Arabidopsis thaliana: one gene and its partners. The protein of the gene in region 1 interacts with the protein of each later gene in a pairwise test. Each region holds a gene or a part of one and is shown in the gene's direction. Other genes may lie near its edges.

Region 1 (5,664 bases):
TTGTTTTCGGAATACTTTTGACGTCCAAAACCAAAATAGGTAAATATGATTAGATAAAATATATATTTTTTAAGAAAATAAGAAATGGTGCTAATGCTTTTGGATTTGATCGTGAGTTAGTGTGACTAGATTGTTTTGTTAGCGTAATCTAAAATAATTGAAATAATTTATGTCCAAATTTATTTTATTTTTAGCCAAATAAAGTAATACAAAATAAATGTTTCAGCTATACTACTTTAGCAAAGAGTAAACTGTAAAAGCAATACAATTTTTCATCCACATTTCTGTTTCTTCGAGCTTCTCATTTTCTACCATTTTGTTTTCATTTCTCATCAATTACATACTTTTGATGATATTAAGAGAGAAACATTAACAGTAACAGTCACATTATGTAATCAATTTCTTATGGAATAAATCGAATATAAAATTAATTATTTAAGTTTTAGCGAATAATCAAACGTTGAATATTCAGATAATTGTAGAATACATATCGATAAAATAAAAAGCCAAGAGCAAGACGAATACAAAATGTCAAAATATCTAAAGATAGATAAATGGAACGAGGAGAGGTAGTAGAGTTGACCCGCCATCTTAAGTCGGCTTTTCTGGTCCAAATTGGAGCGTTTATTTCTTTCTATTATAAGTTAGGTTTCGTAAGCATGCCCCAATTCATTTCAATGGACCTTACTGGTAAAGTCTTTGCTTGATTCAATTATTTCTGAGAAAATCACTCTCTCTTATTGTTTGGCGGCACGGTCAAATCAGTCATATTATTTTCTAAGCTAAATTTTACACACGATACAAAATTTGCATATGAATTTTTTAACTCTGAACCAAATTATAAAGTGCCCTTTTACATTTATTATCATTTATTTTGTACCTAAAATTCCTATAAATAAGAATAAAATATTTCTGACGAGGTTGGTAGTAATTTTGTGAGATTAGACTGTTTGACTAACAAATCTAAGAAAATGTGTGATGGTCAGGAAAACGGTAGACATATTATTGACTCGTATCATTTCTGTATCTATCCGTATTTTATGGGAATATCCCATTTATTGATAATTTGATATGGTCACTACTCACTACAGATATCAAAAGAATTTCTGTCTATTGCCTGTAAAAGTTCCTCATATATGCATCTATCCATATTTTATGAAAATATCCCTAGTTATTGAAAATTACTGATCAAACTTTTTTTTCTCTTTTTCCTTACTTATATTTTGCAGTATTTTTTCCTTCTAATTCTTGTCATACTAGTGCCAATAATCATGCTGACATATTTAACATTAGACCCAAAAAAAAAAAATCATGCTGACATATTGATCAAGATTGAAGACTTTGCATCAAGATCTTTTCTACTCTTTGCTTGGTCAAAATGCCAGTTTCAAATGTTTATTTCTTTATAAGACATGTTAAAAGATACTAAAATCTGCATATCGAAACCTATCCGTCGCGTTATAGAAAGCGTTTAAGATATTAGATCCATTAAAAACAGGATTTACATTCTACTAATTTTTGTCCATTGAACGGTGAGCTAGTCTGTGGACTATAATATTTTTACCGAGTTGATAAAGTATGTTTTATCAAACATTTGGCAATTTGATGAGTTTTTGATGCATAAAATTATAATATTTATAGAAGAATAACATACAAGTGGATGTTGTCAATAATTTGTAACGCGTTATAGTAACAAAAATCATGCCTCATATATATATGTTTATGTAAAGTATGAAGAGTGACTGACCCTCTTTTAAAAAAGAGGCATAATGAGAGGAGAAAAAATAGACTTACACATTTCTCTCACGTCGAGTTTGATACTTTACTTTGAGTGATTCATTCTTTTGGATTTTTGTCTTCTTGTTCAAAAATGATCCTCGGATTCTCTTCATTTTAGAAGAATCTATTGAAGAAAAACAAAATTCAACAATAACAATAGTGGCACAGAAAAAATAACAGTAATAATTTTCACTGTTCTATCTTATTTTTTGATGAAAAAAGATGAAGCTTGAGAATGAAACTACGTCGTTTTGGAAAACATGAAGTCATGAACCATTCTTGTCTCCAAGCCAATCACAGATTCTCAGCCTCATGAAAAAAAAAATGAATACAATTTTTGATTCGATTTTTGTCGAAAGAAAAAGTGACAAAAGTTTTTAGCATAATTTTATGTTTTCTCATAAACAAAAAGTAAACCCAAATTGTTTTTTCGAAACAAGAATCGATTTGGCACGAAATCGAAGATTTGATGAATTGTGTAAAACATGGCGATTCATGAAGAAACCCAGATATCAACAACACAAGACCCTCCTTGCACTTCTAATGATGCCTCGCCGCCTCAAGATCATCGGTTCGAGAAGCTTCGTGGCGTCCGATGGCGAATCAACCTCGGAATCTTACCGTCTTCTCCTTCCTCCACCATTGATGAGCTTCGCAGAGTAACAGCTGATTCCAGAAGAAGGTTTTGACTTTCCCCTACATTGAAGTTTTTGCTTTTAGGGTTTGCATTTCTCGATTTGGTAGCTCCAGATTCAGACTCAGAAACAAAAGAATTTGTAAAGTTTTGATTTTTAGATGTTGTTGTTTATTAGGTATGCTGCTTTGAGAAGAAGACTCTTAATTGATCCACATTTGCCTAAGAAAGGAACAAATTCTCCAGATCTTACTATTGATAATCCTTTATCACAAAATCCTGGTAAAAATCAAAACTTTACTATCTCATTTCTCAGATACATTCAATTTGCAAATTTCTCTCCAATGTAATGATAATGTAAAGCTTTCTGGATTGTGTAGATAGTACTTGGGGGAGATTCTTTCGTAATGCAGAGCTCGAGAAAACGCTTGATCAAGATCTTTCTCGGTTGTATCCAGAACATGGAAGTTACTTTCAATCCTCTGGATGTCAAGGGATGCTTAGAAGGATACTTCTTTTGTGGTGTTTGAAGCATCCTGAGATTGGTTATAGACAAGGTTAGTAGATACTTGATTTTTCGAGTGTATTACATTGCGAATATGGTTTGTGATTTTTAATGGTGTTTTTTGGTTTTAGGGATGCATGAACTATTGGCTCCTTTGCTTTATGTTCTTCAAGTTGATGTGCAATATCTTACGGAAGTGAGGTCAAACTATGAAGATCAGTTTGTTGATTTGTTTGACGAATTAGCGTTTCAAGAACGCGATTCTGGAGCTTATGATTTCGATATAAAAAAGGTTTTGGATGATTCCATGGAAGATGAAGAAGAAGATGGTCCACCCTCTGGAAGCACAAAGAAGAAAAAACCAAAGAGTTTCGATGAACTCGATACCGAGACGCAGACCGCTGTGTTGTTGAGTGATGCGTATGGAGGAGAAGGCGAATTAGGAATCGTCCTCTCTGATAAATTTATGGAACACGACGCTTACACTATGTTTGACGCTCTTATGTACGGTGGATCCTCCCTTGGTTCGGTTTCTGTAGCCAATTTCTTCATCTATTCTGCTCCCAACGATTCCATCACGGGACTGCCTCCTGTAATTGAAGCTTCTGGGGCATTGTATCATCTACTTTCTTTAGTTGATGCTTCTCTTCACAGCCATCTCGTTGAACTCGGTGTTGAACCGCAGTACTTTGCGCTTCGTTGGTTACGGGTTCTGTTTGGGCGAGAATTTCCACTGAGTAATCTATTGATCGTGTGGGATGAGATATTTTCCGCTGACAATTCTGAAGTAGAGAGAGGCGTTGAGGCTGATCTAGGGTGTGAATTCAGGATCCTTAGCTCTCCTCGGGGAGCTCTGGTCGCGGGAATGGCGGTTTCGATGATACTTTATCTTAGATCATCGCTGCTAGCAACTGAAAACGCGACTTCTTCTCTTAAGAAGTTGCTCAATTTTCCGGAGGACATTGATCTGAGTAAAGTTATCGAAAAGGCTAAGACATTGCAGAGTCTTGCTTTGGAAATCAATGCTCGTCGTGATTTGATTCCGAAAGGACCGAGAAAACCGATGAGAGGTCACAGCTTATCAGTTGATTCGATCTCACTTGGTTCTTCTCCTGTGGGAATAGAACCTGAGAGCTACTGGGAAGAGAAGTGGAGAGTTTTAAACAGCGCAGAAGAAGAAGAACGGAGGAAAAAAGCGTTGCAGAGACCAAAAGCAGGGAAGAAGAGTTGGTCGGAAAGAGTGAAGCTAAGGCTTTCAAGGACAGAATCCGATCCGTCTCCCGCTGAAGCAAAGAGAAGCGGGAACAAGCCTCATATTAGACGTAGTTTGCTCGATGATTTATCCCGACAACTAGGGGAAAAAGAGATTGAGCCTCCCGAGTTCCCAAACCCAGACACCGATATCGAACGCTCATCTACAGTATCTGATACTCCCAGTGCAGAGTATGAGGATAACAGTTCTGATAAAGGCAAAAGTGAGAACCACATGGATCTGCCTCTTTCTATCCCGGAGAACGAGCCAGAGGCGAAATCAGGGATGAATATTTTCAGAGAGAGGAAGATTCTTTCGGGTAAATTCCAGAGGCTATGGAGGCTAGGTAGAAACTTGTCTGGCGAAGAGACCTCTGAGACTAAAGAAGCTAAACAGGTAGATTCTGAAGACGGAAAAACCGATTCAGATTCAACTTCAGGTCCTGGCGATTCATTAAAGAATACAGGACGGTCCATGCTTGAACATATTAAGGTAAAAAGTTCACGAATGTTATCTGATGATGGATTTGATTGTTGTGAACCCAAATTAAGCATGACTTGACTCATTTTTTTGAATGTTTCGGTATCAGGTGATAGAGTCGGTGTTGGAGCTAAGTTCACCAGAGAATATGACTGAAAACGGAAAACTAACAGTTGAAGAAGCTCTTAGAGAACTTCGTAGACTTGGAAATATGTTATTGTCGGAAATGTAAAGTTCATTGCAGACTCGGCTTACGTAATTTCATTGTGTATTATGAAAATTCATTTTTCTCTGTGTATGTGTGTGAGAGAGACTGAGAGAGTGTAATGTATATATGAGAAATTTTGAAGAGTTTTGTTTTTCTTTTAGCAGTTTCTTCTAGCACAAGGGACCTGAGTTTCTTTGGACTTTGTTAGCCCTAACGGGTTTTTAACGGTTTTTAGTGACGAGAGATAAAACAAAGTACACAAATTATAAATTTCCCTCCACTTTTTGCGCTGACCGTTAATTCTTACCGTTGATAGAGGAAAAATACAAAGGATTAAGGAATATTAAGCTTAAATAAGTACTAAAATTAAGGGAAAACAAAAGAGAAGAAAAAATCCTGACAAGTGTAGAAGAGTCTTATACTAGAAAAGAATGAAAGAATAATAATAACCTGAATCAAATCGAGATTAAGTAGAAGAAGAAGAAAAAACAAGTCATTATGATTACCATTCTAGAGAAGCATATGATTAGGACTGTATTGCTGCTGTGTAGTAGATGAAGGAGGAGCTGGGAGAGCAAGGAAAGGGTCACCAAAAGGGTTAGGAGATGAAGAAGTTGAAGGATTTGGTGAGAATTGATGATGATGATATGGTGAATAGTTGTTATTATATGGACTTTGGTTATTCATCATCATCATTTGTTGTTGTTGCATTGCCATTTGAACATTGGTTGGTGGAGCCATGTTGTTTGACATTGCGAAAGGATCTTGTTGCACCCCGAACGGGTTTGGGTTCGATGAAGCTAGTG
Region 2 (3,805 bases), about 20 Mb from region 1:
CGTAAAACAAGTTCGAGCTAAAACGTAACGTGACTTAACGACCAGGCAATACAACTACTGCACCGCAAGACCGGATCAACCAATTCTAAATTTTAGTCATCATCAAGACATCAACTTTTTATTTCTTGGACATCTTCCTTAACGTAATCATCAACTTAAAGACCGTAGCTTTAGTGGACACTTTTGAGTTGCATCCTCTTTTGCGGCATATATATTGAAGGCAGAGAATAATGACGATGAGACCCCTTTGTACGAACAAGATGTCAGAACTTAGAAGAACGAAGGAAACCGAACATAAAAGGCAACAACAGTAGTTGTGTCAGAACAACAACAGTAAATGAGATGTAAAAGCTTGTCCAGGCTAGTTCCTTAGCGTTACTGTAACAACACTGTTGAAAATATACGAGTATAAAATAGTACTATTACAAATTACAACCAAAGCGATTTTCGTGCTAATTACCGACCATCTGTTCATACACGTTTTTTTTTTTTTTTTTACCGACCATCTGTTCATACACGTTTTCTCCAATGCATCATTCTCATTGATTTTTTTTTTTTATTGTCACAGTATTTTTTTGTAATCCGAAAGGTTAAATGCTTCTCTCTAAAGTTTAGTGACTTTTGCAATACAATTACCCTCCGCCAAAAACTTAAGCGCAATTCTTCACTAAAAGAAACGTTATTTCATTGCAATCGCACTACATTTACATATATAATATAAACACGATCATAAAGATAACAAATGCGATGAGGCTCATACCAAAAAAACATAAAAAGTGCGATGAGGTTATAGCATAACGATAACTCGCCTTCTTTCTTTATTTGTTTTCTATGTATTGACATAGAAAAAGAGGAGTAAATTTAATGGGCCTCTGATTCGCAAAATAATAATAAATGACTAAGCCTACGAACGATGGTTTGGGTTACATACAAGGCCCATACACGAGCCTGGACTGTCACATTCACATAACCGAGTAGTAGTTTACTCTTGATGTCATTGACACTTTGTCGCTAAGGTAATCGATAAAGACTTTATTTAAAGTGGACTTTGAAAAGGAAAAGGAAGCAACAAAAGTTGCAAAAGGCCGTCGAATCTGTCTGGTCAATAAGTTCACTTCCTTTTATCACATTTGTTTTACAAATATTAATGACTACAACAATTCTTCAAGGGACAATACGAGTATTTTATTTACGAGAACTGGACAAATTGTTTATAGGCTCTTTAAAAGAAATCAAAAGGTTCCCGAGTTTCCTCGAACGGTGCAATTTTAAAATGTAAGTGGATCCTTAGGCGAAATCTGTACCGTTGGTGGTACTGTTAACGGTTGAGATGAACTCGAATACAAATCTTAGTCTACGCGCGCCGAAAGATACCCAGACTCAACTATTTGACCAAAAGTGAGAGAACGAAATACGGAAAAGTATTCATTTCATGGGTTTGGCATATAATAAATAAATATGTCAAAAAAGTTTTTTCTCCCAATGTTATACAAAGTTGAAAATAAACATGCAAAATTAGGGAAATTTTATTAACTACTGTAAATAATAATCTCAATTTAACAAAAAACTGTCTCTCCATATTATTTAAAACCTTAGCATAATTTAAAAAAATTAAGATTCATAAAATAAAATAACGTAATTATATTTTTTTTTAAATGGAAAAGTATCAAGAGGTTGTTCAAAAAGTGAATTTTGACGTCAGCATATTTGAACTCTCTCTCATGACTCATCATCTTCTTAAAACCTAACCACACGAGTCACGTCTCTTTCTCTCTCAGTGATTTTGTTATTTATTCTCTCTTTGAAACGTTTTCGCCGAAGAAGAAAGAGCAAAAACATGAGGAGCGATGATCTTTACATCACCACCGTCCCTTGTTTCTTCAAATGTCCAATTTCACTTGATGTGATGAAATCTCCGGTGAGTCTCTCCACCGGCGTTACATACGACCGAGTTAGCATCCAACGTTGGCTCGATGATGGTAACAATACTTGTCCCGCGACGATGCAGATTCTTCAGAACAAAGAATTCGTACCTAACCTAACTCTTCACCGTCTCATTGATCACTGGTCCGACTCCATCAACCGTCGAGCCGATTCTGAGTCTCCGGAATCCGATACTCCGACGCGAGACGAAATTAACGCTGCGATTGAGAGATTCCGGATCGAGAATGATGCTCGTTCGAAGATTCTCCGGTTCGCGAGAGAATCTGATGAGAACAGAGAGTTTCTCGCCGGGAAAGATGATTTCGTAGCGATGCTTGTGGATCTCATTAGCGATTCCAGAAACTTCTCTGATTCTCAATTGCTACTCGTTGGAGAAGCGGTGAAGATTCTGAGCATGATTCGTCGGAAAATCTTCGATCGGAGACGGTTATCGAATCTGATCTTAACGAACGGTGGTGATTGCTTGACTTCCTTCTTCCTATTGATTAAACGCGGGAATCCAAAATTGAAGATCGATTGCTCCGCCGTGCTTGAGTTTATCGCCGTCGACGCAGAGTCAAAGCTTATAATCGCCAAGGGAGAAGGATTGGTCACCGAGATTATTAAATTGATAAGCTCAGATTCCGACTCAAGCTTAATCGAAGCGAATTTATCTTTATTAATCGCGATTGCGTCTTCAAAACGCGTGAAACTCGCATTAATCAGAGAAAAGCTAGTCACGAAACTCACGAGTTTGTTAACAGATCCAACTACGAGCGTTTCAGTGACGGAAAAATGCTTAAAGCTTCTCGAAGCTATTTCGTCTTGTAAAGAAGGTCGATCGGAGATTTGTGATGGTGTGTGCGTGGAGACGGTGGTGAATAAGCTGATGAAAGTGTCGACGGCGGCGACTGAACACGCCGTTACGGTTTTGTGGAGCGTCTGTTATCTTTTCAAGGAAAAGAAGGCGCAAGATGCCGTTATTAGAATTAACGGCGTTACGAAGATACTGTTACTTTTACAGAGTAATTGCTCGCTTACCGTTAGGCATATGCTAACGGATCTTCTTAAGGTGTTCAAGGTGAACTCAAGATCTTGCCTTTCGGTATACGAAACCAAAACGACACATATTATGCCGTTTTGATTATCCCCCCTCCGTATTAACTTCTTTAGGGATTATTACTTGTTGGTAAAAAAAATTCAAGTTGTAAGGAAAGAGATTTTTTGGAAGGTGAATGGAATTGTTATCACGGCCAATGCCATTAGAACTTTGAGAATAAATTGCAATGTTCTTTAGTACTAGTATCATTGCAATGTTGATACTCTAAACCAGAATTTTATGTTTGGACTTGGCAAAATCGTATTAAAAGTAAAGCTATCAATATGCTCTATCAAGGGAGATGTTGTCTTTGTATCTAAAACAAACTGAATCTTGATTGATTGAGCAGTCAAAAACAAAATTGGATTTAAAAGATTACAAGAAGTGGATTTGGCATTTGGAGGAACGTTAGGATAAGGAAGGAGGTCTTTGGTGAGTTGCAATTTCTTGTCAACATCAACCTTAGTACCAATTTCCACTTTCATTACTTGAAGAAATTCACTTTCCGACAGAACAGCCTCACTTGTTCGACTTCTCTAAGATTCCCTCTACACCCGTATAACTCCAACACCTTCAACGTATTTCCATCAATGCTATACCCACAAGTACTTACACACTGAAAACCCTGAAACAACGGATAGAAAAGAAAAGAACACACAGTAAGTGAAACTCCGAGATTAAATTTATAATTGAGAAAGAGAAAAAGAGATCATATTATACATACAAACCTTGAGGATCAAAGTTTCTAGATTGGGAGAGCTTTTTATCAGAGTCCAAAGAACT
Region 3 (4,688 bases), on another chromosome or scaffold:
TCTGCATTGATAATACAGAATGAGAGAAGAAGAAAACATTGTAGAAAGTAAGACATCAAAGTTTAATATTCTCTTGTTGTATGTATACCTCTGTTTTGCTGTCAAAGATCTTTGATCTCCTCTGATATATTTAAACTAAAAGATTTAATTCTTCAAACATATCATTATACCGGAGAGGGAGAGGTTCATATTCTAAAACATGTAAGCATTCCGAGCAAAAGAAATGTTTATATTATTCATCCAAAATGTTGGTTCGTGTCACACGATAATACACATTGTAGAAGGAAGACTAGAAGTAGAACCAGCTACATTAGAGTTTAATGTATCTATATAATAATAAGTCAAAAATACCCACTTGGATTATTATGTTCTTATCATTTTTGGGGTTATCAAAGATACTTTATAAACTTTTGACTTTTGCATTGGCATTGTCTTTACTCCGATGATCTACGCCTGAGAGTTGACCGCTTCACAGTCCAGTCTTCAAATTGTTTTCGCACTTACGATATCATTCATTTCTGATTCGTTAGGGCTCCCCCAAGCTTACAATCTTCCTTAGTAAAGTTTGGGAAAAAAACAAATAACATAAACATAATCAATCTCAATCTGAAACGAACTAAACACTACTATAGTTCATTTTCTCTCATATGTATATAACAAGATAATTGTCAAAACAAAAACTGTGAGTTGTAATCAAATGATGGCATTGATCAATAGTCATTGCTTTGTTGATTGAAGAAGATTCCACTTTTAAGGAAAAAAGACAGCTACAATAACTAAATTCTTTAAGGTTCGTTAGCAATGTAACCGAATACGTGAAGTAACACTAGCCATTGTTTAAAGAAAGAGAGTCGTCGAAACAAAACGTTGACTAGCTTATATGCTCTTATAATGATTTAGACAACTCACGTATATACGACGTTGAAGCCAAATTAGTTGAAATGTATATGTAAATGTAGTTGACTTTGGTAAGCGAATCTCCATTTTGGTCTTTTAAGAATCTGTAACGCCTGGAAATTGCCAATACCTCCGGTTCGTATATCTTTATATCATGATTTATGAGTGCGTATATTTGACTTTTTCTTGCAAAACCATACATACATAACATGCGAATGTCTTGTGTCTGTGTATATGATATCTAATGTATGGGAAAACTTGGAATATAGGTTTTATTTTCTTCTAGACAAGATCATGAAGTATAGTACGTATCTTTTATGATCATCTTTTTGGTCAGACGAAAGAATATTAGTTTTATATAATACATAATTTGTGATTTGTTTTTCTATCCTCTATAAGCACAAACATATACTATCAGATTATGACACATCAACAGTGCTAATATAACATTAGGCTGTAAAATCAACTTAAATATTTTGTAACACTTTTCTCTTAACTATTACAATAAACGTATAGCTGTTAGTTTGCAAGGACAGCGTTAACAACTTATTGTATCATAGTATTGATTCAAAACGTTAATTACTGTGATAACTATAACTTATTAACTGAAATGCAGACGTTGACAGACACACAAGAATTGAAATGTAGAAACGCGTTTATATAAGAGAACGCTAAATATATAAATTTCGGACTTTTCTAGTGAAACTCTATTAGTCTTCTTTTTTTTCTTTGGTCAAAAAACTTCCAATACGAAATTCGAACAAGAAGTATAATTAGTGATCAATAATGCGAATGATGCAATAAAAAGTCAAATGAAATGAAATTGATGAATTTAACTGTTATATAAAATTATAAGTTGACAGAATGAAATAGTCATATAATTCTAGTTCTAGACGTGGATAGCAAAAACTTTGTCGCCCATATGTATATAAAATTTGTACTCTAGTTATCTTTTAAGTATATAAGGCTTATATTATACATCGAAGTCAATGGTTCTTTGTGGTCTGGGTCTATAATCACAGGTAAGCACATCGTCATCGATTTCATTTTCAAAGTCAAGACCAATCTCGCTCTCTATATAATTGTTAAAAACCATCTTTCTAATTAAAATAGAAAGAGTAAAAGCCAAGTAACACCATTTTAAAAGGCTTCGCTTTCAATTCAGAAAGAAGAGAATAGAGAGCTTCTTCTTCTTCAATGGCGAAAATGGCGAAATTTTCTTTCTTCTCTTCGTCATCTCCTAAATATCATCCTTCTTCGCCTTCTTCATTCACTTCTTTCCCGGCTTCTCCTCTAAACCAGAACTTTACTCAGGCTATGATGGAGGAAACCGTGGAGACAGCGGACTCCGTCATCAGAAAATGGGACCCGAACACGCCTTCCTTCACCAAGATTGTCTCTCTGTTCAACCATAGCAGGAAGGAGGCTAAAGAGTTCATCAGATGTGTCCGTGATTTGCGCAGAGCGATGCACTTTCTTGTCTCTCAAGACTCTCAATCTCCAAAGCTTGCTCTAGCTCAGACCCTGATGCAGATCGCCATGGCAAGGCTCGAAAAAGAGTTCTTCCAGATATTATCTTCAAACAGAGACAAGCTTGATCCTGAATCAGTTTCCGGTCAATCCTCAATCTCCAGCAATTCTGAATTTGAAGATGTTATGGGATCTGACGACGACGATGAAAGTGACAATGAGATGAGGAAAGCTGGCGAATCGATCACTCAGGTTGAGAAAGCTTCAGCTATGGTGATGTCTGACCTTAAGGCGATAGCAGAGAGTATGATAAGTTGCGGATATGGTAAGGAGTGCGTAAAGATTTATAAGCGGGTCAGAAAATCTATTGTAGATGAAGGGCTGAGCTTGCTCGGGATTGAAATCTACAAAGGCTCCAGATTTCACAGAACGGACTGGGTCACGCTCGAGCATATGATCAAGAACTGGATAAAAGCTGCAAAGATTGGCATTGCCACGCTCTTCCGTGGAGAGAAACTTCTTTGTGATCATGTCTTTTCTGCTTCCAATTCAACAAGGGAGTCATGCTTCTACGAGATTGCAAACGAAGCAGCCACTAACCTTTTCAAGTTCCCTGAATTTGTTGCCAAGGAGAAGAAATCGCACGAGAGGATCTTCCCGCTAATGGATCTGCAGGCTGCAATCTCTGATCTCTGGCAAGACATAGAGATGATATTCCACTTTGATGCAGTAGCTGGTGTGAAATCTCAGGCGCTCACATCGCTGCAAAAACTAAAGGTCTCAATCCACAGTGCTCTCACGGATTTTGAATCAATCATTCAGAAAGATACGACGAAAGCTCTAACACCTGGAGGAGGGATTCATAAACTGACACGATCAACAATGAACTTCATCTCTTCCCTTTCTAAGTACAGCGGAGTCTTGTCGGAAATCCTAGCAGACCATCCACTCCCGAGAAACACTCGCCTGCTGGAATCCTATGTCAGAGCTCCAATTTCGGAAGATGAACAACACAATCACGCACTCTCTGTCCATTTTGCTTGGCTAATCCTGGTTTTGCTATGCAAACTAGACACCAAAGCAGAGCATTACAAGGATGTTTCTTTGTCTTACCTTTTCCTTGCAAACAACCTTCAGATCATCATTGAAACGGTTGGTTCAACTCCCCTAAGGAATCTCCTTGGAGATGATTGGCTCAATAAGCACGAAGATAAACTCTGCGCTTATGCTGGGAATTATGAGATAGCAGCATGGTCCAATGTTTTCATGTCTTTACCAGAAGAACCCACAGACCTATCACCAGAGGAAGCTAAAATATATTTCAGAAGATTTCACACGGCATTTGAGGAAGCATATATGAAACAATCATCACGAGTTGTACCAAATGCGAAACTTAGGGACGAACTAAAGGTTTCAATAGCAAAGAAACTTGTACCAGAATACAGAGAGTTTTACAGGAAGTACTTACCAATGCTCGGCCAGGAGAGAAACATTGAGATCTTGGTGAGATTCAAGCCAGATAATTTGGAGAATTACATCTCTGATCTTTTCCACGGTACACCAATTCATGCATCCTCTTCTTTTTCTTCATCTTCTTCCTCTTCATCCTGGAAATCACTTGGGTGTGTTTCAGGCTGAGAGACTTGATCCATAGTTTTGGCTAAATATTCCATTTTTTACATGATGTGAAGTGAAAAAAATGTAGATACGTGTGTTTGCATTGTGTGTGCAACAGAAAATGAGAACAAAAAAAAAAAAATGAGATTTTCTTTACATAATTTATGACGAGTTCTTCATTATCTAAGAAAAAACAAACTTGCGATACGCTTTAAGAATAAAACGAGTAGTCTCTAATAACCGAAGCTGATATAAATCTGATAAAGAATTCGATTCAGTGATATACATTCAAGAAGCCAATTACAAATCACAAAGAAGAAAAAGGCATAAAAAATCACACACAGCATACTGTAAACATAATGTGCTGAAGAACAAAAGCATTATTCACTCCTTCAATAACTAGAAAAAGAAGGAAATATGATATGCAAGAAAACATTTGAATCGCAACTATTACTTAGGAACTCCATGATCAGAAGGACGGGACAAAGATTGCCAACCGGTACAAATTTGCATGATTTGCTTGAGAGTTTCTGATGGTGGCTCCACAGTCCATGTTGGGTAGTGTTCACTTGGATGGAATACACATTCTTCACTGGCTCCTGTCATCAAGGAAGGTTGAGCTCCATTCAAGAACAAGTCATTTTCAGATCGTACTAACCCAGTTCTCGCTTCTTCCTTGTCAGCAGCCTACAAACAAACTCACA

The links.
Region 2: the proteins of AT5G57210 (region 1) and AT5G09800 interact in a two-hybrid assay, tested with the Arabidopsis thaliana proteins (one large-scale study listed by BioGRID).
Region 3: the proteins of AT5G57210 (region 1) and EXO70H1 interact in a two-hybrid assay, tested with the Arabidopsis thaliana proteins (one large-scale study listed by BioGRID).

What each region holds. Positions count from the first base shown.
Region 1 is NC_003076.8:23,180,306-23,185,969, reverse strand, and holds AT5G57210 (Ypt/Rab-GAP domain of gyp1p superfamily protein), read left to right. Parts: upstream 1-1,916; 5' UTR 1,917-2,264; coding exon 2,265-2,461; intron 2,462-2,591; coding exon 2,592-2,695; intron 2,696-2,776; exon of another isoform or gene 2,777-2,793; coding exon 2,794-2,970; intron 2,971-3,049; coding exon 3,050-4,662; intron 4,663-4,759; coding exon 4,760-4,882; 3' UTR 4,883-5,137; downstream 5,138-5,664. Other genes in the region: AT5G57200 (ENTH/ANTH/VHS superfamily protein), read right to left, coding at 5,369-5,664.
Region 2 is NC_003076.8:3,042,385-3,046,189, reverse strand, and holds AT5G09800 (ARM repeat superfamily protein), read left to right. Parts: upstream 1-1,643; 5' UTR 1,644-1,837; coding exon 1,838-3,067; 3' UTR 3,068-3,286; downstream 3,287-3,805. UniProt on the Arabidopsis thaliana protein: Functions as an E3 ubiquitin ligase.
Region 3 is NC_003074.8:20,439,972-20,444,659, reverse strand, and holds EXO70H1 (exocyst subunit exo70 family protein H1), read left to right. Parts: upstream 1-2,009; 5' UTR 2,010-2,094; coding exon 2,095-4,005; 3' UTR 4,006-4,169; downstream 4,170-4,688. Other genes in the region: AT3G55140 (Pectin lyase-like superfamily protein), read right to left, coding at 4,435-4,671.